3 linked regions of the Ovis aries genome follow. Each later gene encodes a partner of the first gene's protein in a complex. Links are inferred from orthologs where the notes say so. Each region holds a gene or a part of one and is shown on either strand. Other genes may lie near its edges. The genes, in order: VDAC1, SPG7 and PPIF.

Region 1 (3,651 bases):
AAATACTGACTGACTCCTGCCATATTCTGGGCCTGTGCTTAATCCTGGGGATACCTAAGAGAAGAGGTCTCTAAAGTCAGACTGGTCTGCTGTCAATAAAAACCTACTGGGTGTTTCCACCTCTGGCCGCAGAAGCAGCAGGAGACTGCACAGGTATCTTTGTCCACACGTGGGGGAAAAAGGTACCTGGAAGTCAGTGCTGATGATTTTTATTGGTGGAAAATGAATATCTGTAATTTCCAGAGTGTTTATTATGGTGATTCTTTTATTATAGCAGAAGATGGCTGTGCCTCCCACGTATGCAGATCTTGGCAAATCTGCCAGGGATGTCTTCACCAAGGGCTATGGTGAGTGTTGCATGGAGTGGCCCTTCAGCTCAGAGACTGGGTCCGCTTGTTTGGTATTCTGCCCGTCACAGTTGGAGAGAGCTGGGTCAGTCAGCTCTTAGAACCTTCATGTCAGGGGAAAGAGATAAGCCTTCTATGGCTAGTCAGGCAGTTTTGGTTGCGTACCCAGTTCAGGTCGGCGAGCGAATTGCTCAGACTAGTGGACCTTCTTGTTTCCTCTCCCAGGCGGGAGCAGGTCTGGGTGCCGCTGCGGTGGACTGCGGCTTCTAAATTTAGCTTTTCCTTAGGCTGGTGCTCATGCTGTCACACACCTTTTTCTCAGACTCCGCTGGGGCTGCAGGTGGGGCTGTGCCTGTTCCCTCTGCCACTGTTCCGTGGCAACCAGTCTCCATGGCAACCAAGCTCCACCCACAGAGGCAGGCAGCAGTGGAGACTGGTGCCCTCTGCACTCATGGCATTTTTAAGATTTCCTAAGGGAGGCAGAGATGCTGCTCTTGAGTTATTTAACCTATTAACAGTGACCATGTTCTTTCTTTAGGATTTGGCTTAATAAAACTTGATCTGAAAACAAAATCCGAGAATGGATTGGTAAGTTGTCTGGCCCACACGGAGTATGGATATTTATTGTAGATCAGTAAATAATAAATAACTTCCATCTGAGTGGCAAGCAAAGGGACTTTTCTGATTGTGGCAACTTGTGGTTGTCACATTTATTGCCTCTTCTGTGGAATGGGTGGTCCAGGGGAACCAAGCCACTAGGTCCCCAATTCACCACCTATTAATACTCATAGGAATATGAGGCAGGCCTCCGATTTATTTTTCCTTATGTATCTTATTTCAAATATTGACCTGTGTTCCATACCACATGATTATTTAATAAAAAAATTAGTAGTATCTTTTAGATTGTGCATGTAGTAATTGTTGGAAGGAAGAAGTTTTGGGTAGAATTACTGCAATGTCTGCTTTAGCTCAAAGCCTTTTCTCTGTGTGAGCCTGGAGACAGGATGGAAAGAGGACATGATGCCTTCCTGTCCAGACTGAAGAGTTGCAGGGGAGGAAGGAAGCTGTCTCTTGATATAGAATTCTCCGTAAGATTCCTTTAGTTAGCGGATTCCATCTTTAAATAGTTGTTTAGTTGCAAAGTCGTGTCCAACTCTTTGCGACCCCATGGACTGTAGCCCACCAAGCTCCTCTGTCCTTGGAATTTCCTAGGCAAGAATACCAGAATAGGTTGCCATTTCCTTCTCCAGGGAATCTTTCCAACCCAGGGATAGAATTCGCATCTCCTATATTGGCAGGCGGATTCTTTACCACTGAGCCACCGGGGAAGCCTTTTTGACACTTTAAATATCTAATTGAATTATAGATGGAGCTTTTGCACCCAGACGTTCAGGGTCTCACCTTTTGCATAAAGGAAAGTGCAGTCCATTTAGGGGTGGAGTGATGCAGAATGAAGTGCTGGCATGCAGGCTGTGACTGTCTTCTTTAAAGGAATTTACGAGCTCAGGTTCAGCCAACACCGAGACCACCAAAGTGACGGGCAGCCTGGAAACCAAGTACAGATGGACTGAATATGGCCTGACGTTTACAGAGAAATGGAACACTGACAACACACTAGGCACAGAGATTACTGTGGAAGATCAGGTAATGGTCATCTGTGGAAAGAGGCAGTTTTACCAAGTGACGTCTGCTGGCCTGTCTTGTGACTAACCCTGTTGGTGAATTTCTTTTCTGTTCAGCTTGCACGTGGCCTGAAGCTGACCTTCGATTCATCCTTCTCACCAAACACTGGGTAAGAATTTCATCTGTTTTCTCCTTAAGGACACTTAGCAGTGTTTTATGGTGAGGTTCATTCTGTGCTGTTTGTTATTGTTTTACTGGCCTCAGCTGAGGAGGCTGCAGGATTTCTGGTCCAGTGATGCTCCATTCCTTGTGAGTGAGGCTGCTGGTAATGTTAAGTGGCCAAGGCTGTAGGGCGGTGTTTGGAAGCAGGGGCTAATGGGTTGCTGTTGCTAGCCTTATTTTTTTCAGGCTGGAGAGCCCTTTCCCCAGCTTCCTACTTAGGGACACTGAGAGTGTGTGGGCTTTAATTGCAAGGTGGCTCCTGAGGCTGCACATTTCTGCTTCAGGCCCTCCAGCCACAGGCAGATTAGGCTTGCTGGTTATTGAGGACCTCGGTCTTCCATCAGGGAAGGTAATGAGCCATCAGTGCTGCAGTGCACGAGACACAGAAGATGCAGGTTTGATCCCTGGGTCAGGAAGATCCTCTGCAGGAGGAAAATGGCAGCCTATTCCAGTATTCTCGTCTGGAGAATATCATGGACAGAGAAGCCTGGTGGGCTGCAGTCCATGAGATTGCAAAGAGTCGGACATGATTTAGTGACGAAGCACAGCACAGCACGGGAGGCAAGAGGATGTGTTGGTCTGCCTCAGCTCCTGGAGCTTTTCACAGTGACTGAGGGAGTTGTTCTCTTCCAGAACACACTCTTGTTTTTTTCTACTCAGCAGTTGGGTCCTTTAGGTCTGAGAAGGTTGTTTTGCAGACTGATGATAAGCCTCAAGGGCATGTATTGAATTTCATTTCTTATTTAGTTTTAAAATTATGGTAAAATGCACATAAAATTTACTTCCTCAACTATCTTTTAGGTGCGTGGTTCAGTGGCATTCTGAATTCCATTTTTTGCCATTTGATGTTATTTTCTTCTCTCTCTCCTTCCTTTTTCTTCTTCCAATGAATATTTATTAGAGGGAGACGCTCCCGAGTTCAGACCCTGTGCAGGGTGACCACAAGGACTGGGCACATTGGGATCCTGCCTCTAGATTATAGTCTTTTTATAACTTGATTATGGATGGTCTGAAGATTATTGGCCAGGAGCTGAATTTACCTTGTTCTCATCTCTGCTGTAGTTTCTCCTGTAGGAGCATGGCCTTCCTGCTTGTCTGCTTCCCCCCAGGCACCGTGATGGGAGAAGTTATCCAGAAAGACACTGATAGCACAAGGGCTGGAGGATGTGCCCACATGCTTGAATTTGCTGTTTAGGACTTTGCTTGCTGCCCTGAGGTGGCACACTTTGGAATTTGTAAAGGGTTTGCTCACTGCCTTTGGGGAGTTTGCAGAGACGACTCTAGGACTTGCAGTAATATATACATAACCAAAAAGTTTTTTTATTTGGAAATTTAACTATTTTTATACTTAACATATATAAAAATGCTGCACAAATAGTGTACAGAATCCTCTTATATTCTTTACTTGCCTTCTCCTAATGTTAATATCTCATATAATTATCAGACCAGGAGATTTGTT
Region 2 (4,279 bases), on another chromosome or scaffold:
CAGTGAAGGAGGAAACCAGGGAGGATGGATGGACTGTGAAAAGAGAAAGTGAGAAAGGGAAGCAGTCCAGATGTGCAGGTCAGGGTCAGCCCCTCGCCACACACAAGAACCTGGCTGCTGGAGCCGAGGACCAATAATCAAAACTCTGCATTTAAAACAATGTCCCTAAACCTTCTGAGCTTCAGGACTTTTACATCATACATGTTACTGCTGTAACACACAAAGCCATAGGGTGGAGAGCATAGGCCCTGAAACCAGTCAGACCAGCTCTGAAACTCTGTGCATCAGTTCTTAGCTGTGACCTCGGAGAAGTCACTTTAAAGTGCCGAGTCTGTTTCCTTATCTGTAAAACAGATGTAAAAGTATCTACTTCTCACATTTGTGAGGATTAAAAGAATGCCTGCTACAGAGCCAAGCCCCAGCTAGCACTCAGTAAGAACGGTTATTGCCTAATGACCTTAGGAATTTGGGGAATACAGAAAAACACAGAAACAAACTTAAGTCACCGTACAGTCAGCAGTCTCAGGGCTAAGTACTCTAAGCACTCCAGCACCAGACCTAAGGGAGCCTGGGGTCCGCCAGGGATAAAACCACAGACTCCTCCCCTTCTCCCAGGGATGGAGTGAGTGGACTACAGTCTCCTAGGCCATGATCCTGGTCTCCAGAGCTAGGCATGACTTCCAGAGGGGGTCGGCCTGTCTTCAGGAGAAAAGAATAGTGGAGGCGACGGTTACCTCTTCAAAATTAAGCATCTGTAGGACAAGACTGCCGGCCGCTCACGCCTGGGAGCTGGCTCAGCTACCCTGAAGTACTTGCTCTTACCCTAAGCCCTTTCCTTTTCCTCTCGGTATACAGGGCCCTTGGGGCACCAGCGGGGCAGGCTCTGCAGCTAGAGCCCGGGAGAGCGAAACTCTCCCCTCCGCAGCATTCTCCTCGCGCCAAGACTGTCAGGGGTCAGGGGCCCGGGTCTAGGTGGGAGTCGGACTCAGAGTCTGGATCTGAGGCTGGAGTTGGGGGTCAGGATTCGGGCCCGAAGTCGGGGTCAGGGCCTCAGGCGGGCCCCACCATCTACGCACGTCTGCTCCCTTCGGGCTCCCGGGCTCCCTCCGCAGCCCCTGGACCCGCTGGGCCAAGTCCTCCCGGGAGCCGCGACCTAGCGCGGCGTCTGATGCCCCGACTCGGGGCCCACCAGGCTGCAGTTCTACTCGCAGCGCTTGTACTCGCAGTACAAAGTGGCAGTTCAAACCCGCCAAAGAATCCCAGTGGGATTAGAGTTGCAGCGGATCGCTCGGTCACGGAACCCGATCGCGGAGTAGCAAGGCTTGACAGGCCTCACTGGAAGAGGCCCGACCGCGCAGGCGCCCCGCGGAGACACCCCACCCCCCGACCCCCGCCTCCCTCCCCAGTAGCGCAGGCGCAGCTTCCGGGTCAACATGGCGGCCGCGCGGCTGCTGCTGCGCGCTCTCCGCCCGGGGCCGGGACCGGGGCCGGGGAGGCTGCGGTGCCCCTACTCGGGCTGGAACCCAGGCTGCTCCTCCGGGGCCAAGTGGAGGTGGCCGTATGTCGTCCACAGGCCTCCGATGGGCCTCGTCGGGCCTGGTGGCCGAGCCCTGCAGGTAATGTACGGGCCTCCGGCAGCGGCGTTTGGAATGGTAATGTGGAAGATGCTCTCCGCCGCTTCGGCTTCGTCTTCCGAGAGGCAGCTCCTACCTGCAACCCGGAGGAGAGGCGGGCGGCGAGGCCGGCGGGCAGCCCGAGGGAGAAACCGGGAGCGAGGCCGCACAGTTGGACTTCTCTAGCACTTGTTTCGTTCTTCCCTGGTGGCTCAGTGGTAAAGAACCAGCCTGCCAATGCAGGATGGTACCCTGGGTGGGTAAGATCTCTGGAGAAGGAACTGGCAACCCACTGTAGTATTCTTGCCTGGGAAATCCCATGGACAGAAGAGCCTGACGGGGTCGCATGGGGTCGCAAAAGAGTCACAAGGATTTAGCGACTAAACAACAGCACTTGTTTCGTACATTGATATTTTTTGCCCGTTTTCTTGGTGTTTTGAAATTGAATCGACTAAGAGTTTCACTGATATCTAGCAGAGGATTATTTGCAGTCATATAGATCAGATCACTCCAGGATGAATTCTAGTGCCTTCCAATTGCTCTGAGCGGTTTTTCATGTGAGCACTGTAACTGTATTTTATTCTTATCATGTAGCTTGACATGTTATGGACACAAATTCACTGACCCTCTGTGTGAAGGCTGTGTTCCAGGCCCTGTTAATGTTAACATTTCACTCTGGAAGCAGACCCTAAATGCTTTTTTCACTGATTTTTTTAGCCCTCTCTTAGGACCCCAACCCTCGCATTTTAGGTTGTAATGTATTATTGTATTTTACCATAAGTTGAGAACCAATTTCATATCATAATCCTATTCTACACCCTTTCTGAGTCTGAGGACAACTATAGATCATGGCATCCGGTTCCATCACTTCATGGCAATAGATGGGGAAACAGTGGCAGATTTTATTTTGGGGGGGGGCCTCCAAAATCACTGCAGATGATGACTGCAGCCATGAAATTAAAAGACGCTTACTCTTTGGAAGAAAAGTTATGACCAACCTAGACAGCATTTTAAAAAGCAGAGATATTACTTTGCCAACGAAGGTCCATCTAATCAAGGGTATGGTTTTTCCAGTAGTGATGTTTGGATGTGAGAGTTGGATTATAAAGAAAGCTGAGTGTGGAAGAATTGATGCTTTTGAACTGTGGTGTTGGAGAAGACTCTTGAGAGTCCCTTGGACCGCAAGGGGATCCAACCAGTCCATCCTAAAAGGAATCAGTCTTGATATTCATTGGAAGGACTGATGCTGAAGCTGAACTCCAATACTTGGGCCACCTGATACAAAGAACTGACTCATTGGAAAAGACCCTGATGCTGGGCAAGACTGCAGACAGGAAGAGAAGGGGATGACAGAGAATGAAATGGTTGGATGGCATCACTGACTCAATGGACATAAGTTTGAGTAAACTTTGGGAGTTGGTGATGGACAGGGAGGCCTGGCGTGCTGCAGTCCATGGTGTGGCAGAGTCAGACACGACTGAGCGACTGAACTGAACTGAAAGGATAGATTACACTTGTTTTTGTTTTAAGTTCTATTGAGAAGGAAAATCATAATTCATTAATTCTAGTCAGACTTGATTATTCTGTGAAAATAAATAAGGACTGAAGTAGGCAATTCACACATACTTGGTGGATACGTAACAGATTATCTCACTAACAACTAGAACAGTAATAACATAATCTGGTTTAAACAAACAGCGTTTAGGGTTGACTTTGAAGAATGACTTTTGTGTGTGCTGTGCCTGACACACTGTTCCACGTTTATAGTGCCCAGTCTACCTCTCTGTGGTTCTCCCTTATATGCCTCCTGGCCATCACTGAACCAAGTATAGTAGTATTAATTAAACTGGATAATAATTGTATGTACTAGGAATTTTTAACCTGTTGCTAAAAGGAAATTATATGTAGCATACTCCTTTGGTAAGGAGTTACTTTTCTTCATAATAGCAGCCAACCAGGGGTGAACTAAGGGAAAGAACTTAAATGTATGTATATTAAGTGTGTTAGTCACTCAGTCATGTCCCAGTCTTTGGGACCTCATGGACTATGGTCCGCTAGACTCCTCTGCCCCTGGAATTCTCTAGGCAAGAATACTGGAATGGGTAGCCATTCCCTTCTCCTGGAAATCTTCCTGAGCCAGCAATCAAACCCTGGTCTCCTGAATTGTGGCCAGACTCTTTGCCATCTGAGCCACCAGGGAAGCCCTTAAAATAAATAAGTCGATAAAAATGGAGAAATTGCTACCACTGAGATAGAAAAAATTAGGTTGGACCATTGACCATAACATAAAATACACTCAAGTGGGAAACTGGACTTCATGGGAATGTTCCACAAGGAACGGTTGTCTGGAGATGTTGGGAGCAAAAGTTCTGGACAGCCAGTGAAGCCTTTGCTGCTTGTGTCCTGCAGGAGTCCTGGGGCACAGAATAGCAGCCAGTGTTCCGCACCTCCATTTCAGCGTTTCTTTGACTTGCTTTCTTGCTGTTGACATTTGGAACTTTTTTTTTTCTTTTGATGTTATGGTAAAACTTTGAAATAATGGTCAGATTGTTGGTTCATATTTCAGTGCAGTGTAAATATTACATAAATGAATCTTGGCGCTTTTAGGAAAAATTTTGTATCGGGTGAGTTTGCACTGCCAGTTGTGCTGTGGCGTCCGTGTGATT
Region 3 (2,389 bases), on another chromosome or scaffold:
GTCCCGAGAATCTAGAAGGCAGCTCAGTTCAGGGCCACCAACCAAGACGGGTTACACTTGGGGTTCCACCAGGGGTTTTCACAGAAGGAGGGCAGGCAGGGCCAGCAACAACCTGCCCACTCCAACATCCGTGTCCCTTCTGGCTCAGAGGCTACAGACCACTAGTATCCGCCACCTCCTGGGTCTCCCTAAAGTCCTTGGAAATGGGCTTTATTAAGTTTTAGCTCCAGGCCAGCTGTTGTCCCCTCACCCCGCTGAGATGCCTCAGGGTGAGGACATAGGGGACTCTGGGAAGCGAAAACTGATTAGGTAGTGGGAAACTGACCTGGGAAGACATCCCTAAAATACAAGGGCAATGGGAAAGAGGGTTCCAGCAGGGCTGGTGGCTGCAACAGGCTGGTGCTAATGCCTGATGAGAAATCCGGTATGATATCCAAATGTTGTCTACTGCAGCATTTTCCAAGGTGCAGCCCAAAGTTAAATAAGCTGGGAAACGGCAGGTTAAACCGAGTGAGCAAGCTTCTGCCACAAGCCATCCCGAGGCCTGATAAGTTCTGCAGCATCTCCCCAATGTATTTGGTAAGAGAATTCTTTCCTGTGTGTACGTGTGCATGCTCAGAACACTGAGAAATTCCAGCTACAGCAACAATGGGAAGCCTGATAAAAGACAAGAGTTGCAAAATAACCCAAATTCTTCCTCAATGCTTTTGGGGCCTTTCTCCTCTTACACACTCAGCCGGGTGAGGGCTACTGCCCCAGAGCAGAGAGTTTGGCCTCAAACTATCCTCCCGCTCCAGCTCAAGGCCACCCCTGCTACCCTGAGGGCCTGGACCAGGAGCTGGCAACTCACCAGTCTGTCTTTATGGTGCAAATGAAGAACTGGGAGCCGTTGGTGTTGGGGCCTGCATTGGCCATGGACAGAACACCTGCGAAAACAAGCGGGATGAGCAGGCTGCCCCAGGAGGCATCTCACCTGGGAACTGTTCAAGAGCAGATGATGCACACCACAGGAAGGATGCTTGCGGCTGAAGATACTTGGGGCTCAGAAAAGGAGAGCCAAGCCCAGAGCACACAGCCACCCAGGGCCTGTCCGCCTTGATGACACAGGAGGGAAGGGCCTCCTGGAGGCTCTCAGTGGTAGAGCAGGGGCAGGACCTCCAGCCCTGAACTCTAGCTTTTTCCACATTTCACGTTGGGTCCTAAAGGTAACATAAAGCTAGGGCTTTGCTTAACGGCTCTCAGAGCATGGTGGTCAAAGAAAGATTTGTTTTTGAAACTGAGAGCTCAGGATGAAAAAGCCTCTGGGACAATCCAGTAAGCCCACCCATCACCCTGAAGGAGGGAGGATGTGTCCCTAGATGTGGAGCCATCCGGTTGCAGCCTGCAGGCCTGCTGGGGTGGCAGCGCCAGGCTCACAGCTCAGGGCACATGCCCAGGTGGGGACTGACAGCCTTACTCACCCGGCCCCTCGTGCTTCAGCTTGAAGTTCTCGTCAGGAAAGCGGCTTCCATAGATGGACTTTCCCCCCGTGCCGTTGTGGTTGGTGAAGTCACCAGCCTGCGAACACGGAGCGCTAGCTGAGTGTCGCCACTAGAGCTGGCAGAGGGGTGCTATTCCCATGCTGGGACACAGCGCCCAGCCCCCCAGGGCCTACCCAGCTGGGAGCCCTCAGCCAAAGGGGTCAGAAAACACCCAGTGATAGAAGGGCTAATATAATGCTAAGGAACGTAAGCAACAACAAAATAAAGGTTTAATACTTTCTGCCCCAATAACTACCCTGGTTTCCGAATGATTCATTTTTGTCTGAGTGAGATTTTAAATGATCCTTAAAAATTCTCAGCCATTTCGAGCTGCTTCTTAAGAGACCTAGAATTTTCTACCCACAACTCTTGAAGGGTAAACAAGGAGGAGGCCAGGAGTCCCTGCTCCCCAGTGTGGTCTGCGGGTAGCTGGCACAGAGGCAGGTCCCTCTGCTGAGCCCCAGTTCCTGTCCCAGCATCTCCCTTTCACCCGGCCTAGGACAAAGTCCACCCAGGGCTGGTGGTCTTCCTCACGGCTTGCCCAAGGCTTCCACAAGGAGCCACAGACAGAAGAGCCCAGGGTCTGCCAGCCCCAGGCCCCAGCCCCCATCATATTGCTCTTTTCCTGAGATGACCTCCTCGGGTAACAGGGATGACCTGACTAGCCCTGCTTTTGAAGCATCCACAAATGCCAATAAGGTGTCCCCAGAGAGGACCAGGCCTCCCCGTGCCTGGTCCCACCATCCCATGCCTCCAAGAGCCCACCAGCTTTGGAGTCCCTGCCCTTGCCTACTGTGGTAAGAGTAAGATCCTAGCCCAGCTTGGACATCCGCTTCGGCTTCTGCTCAATCTACAGCCTCAGGCAGAGC

What was found.
Region 2: VDAC1 (region 1) and SPG7 share a complex: the UniProt entries of both Homo sapiens proteins name them as parts of the mitochondrial permeability transition pore complex. The link is inferred for Ovis aries from reciprocal best matches to the Homo sapiens genes VDAC1 and SPG7.
Region 3: VDAC1 (region 1) and PPIF share a complex: the UniProt entries of both Homo sapiens proteins name them as parts of the mitochondrial permeability transition pore complex. The link is inferred for Ovis aries from reciprocal best matches to the Homo sapiens genes VDAC1 and PPIF.

Annotation. Positions count from the first base shown.
Region 1 is NC_056058.1:43,312,548-43,316,198, reverse strand, and holds part of VDAC1 (voltage-dependent anion-selective channel protein 1), read left to right. Parts: intron 1-274; exon of another isoform or gene 275-277; 5' UTR 278-280; coding exon 281-347; intron 348-885; coding exon 886-935; intron 936-1,838; coding exon 1,839-1,991; intron 1,992-2,086; coding exon 2,087-2,139; intron 2,140-3,651. UniProt on the Homo sapiens protein: Non-selective voltage-gated ion channel that mediates the transport of anions and cations through the mitochondrion outer membrane and plasma membrane.
Region 2 is NC_056067.1:14,010,057-14,014,335, forward strand, and holds the start of SPG7 (paraplegin), read left to right. Parts: upstream 1-1,404; 5' UTR 1,405-1,433; coding exon 1,434-1,616; intron 1,617-4,279. UniProt on the Homo sapiens protein: Catalytic component of the m-AAA protease, a protease that plays a key role in proteostasis of inner mitochondrial membrane proteins, and which is essential for axonal and neuron development.
Region 3 is NC_056078.1:34,158,251-34,160,639, reverse strand, and holds part of PPIF (peptidyl-prolyl cis-trans isomerase F, mitochondrial), read right to left. Parts: intron 1,558-2,389; coding exon 1,461-1,557; intron 927-1,460; coding exon 851-926; intron 1-850. UniProt on the Homo sapiens protein: PPIase that catalyzes the cis-trans isomerization of proline imidic peptide bonds in oligopeptides and may therefore assist protein folding. Involved in regulation of the mitochondrial permeability transition pore (mPTP).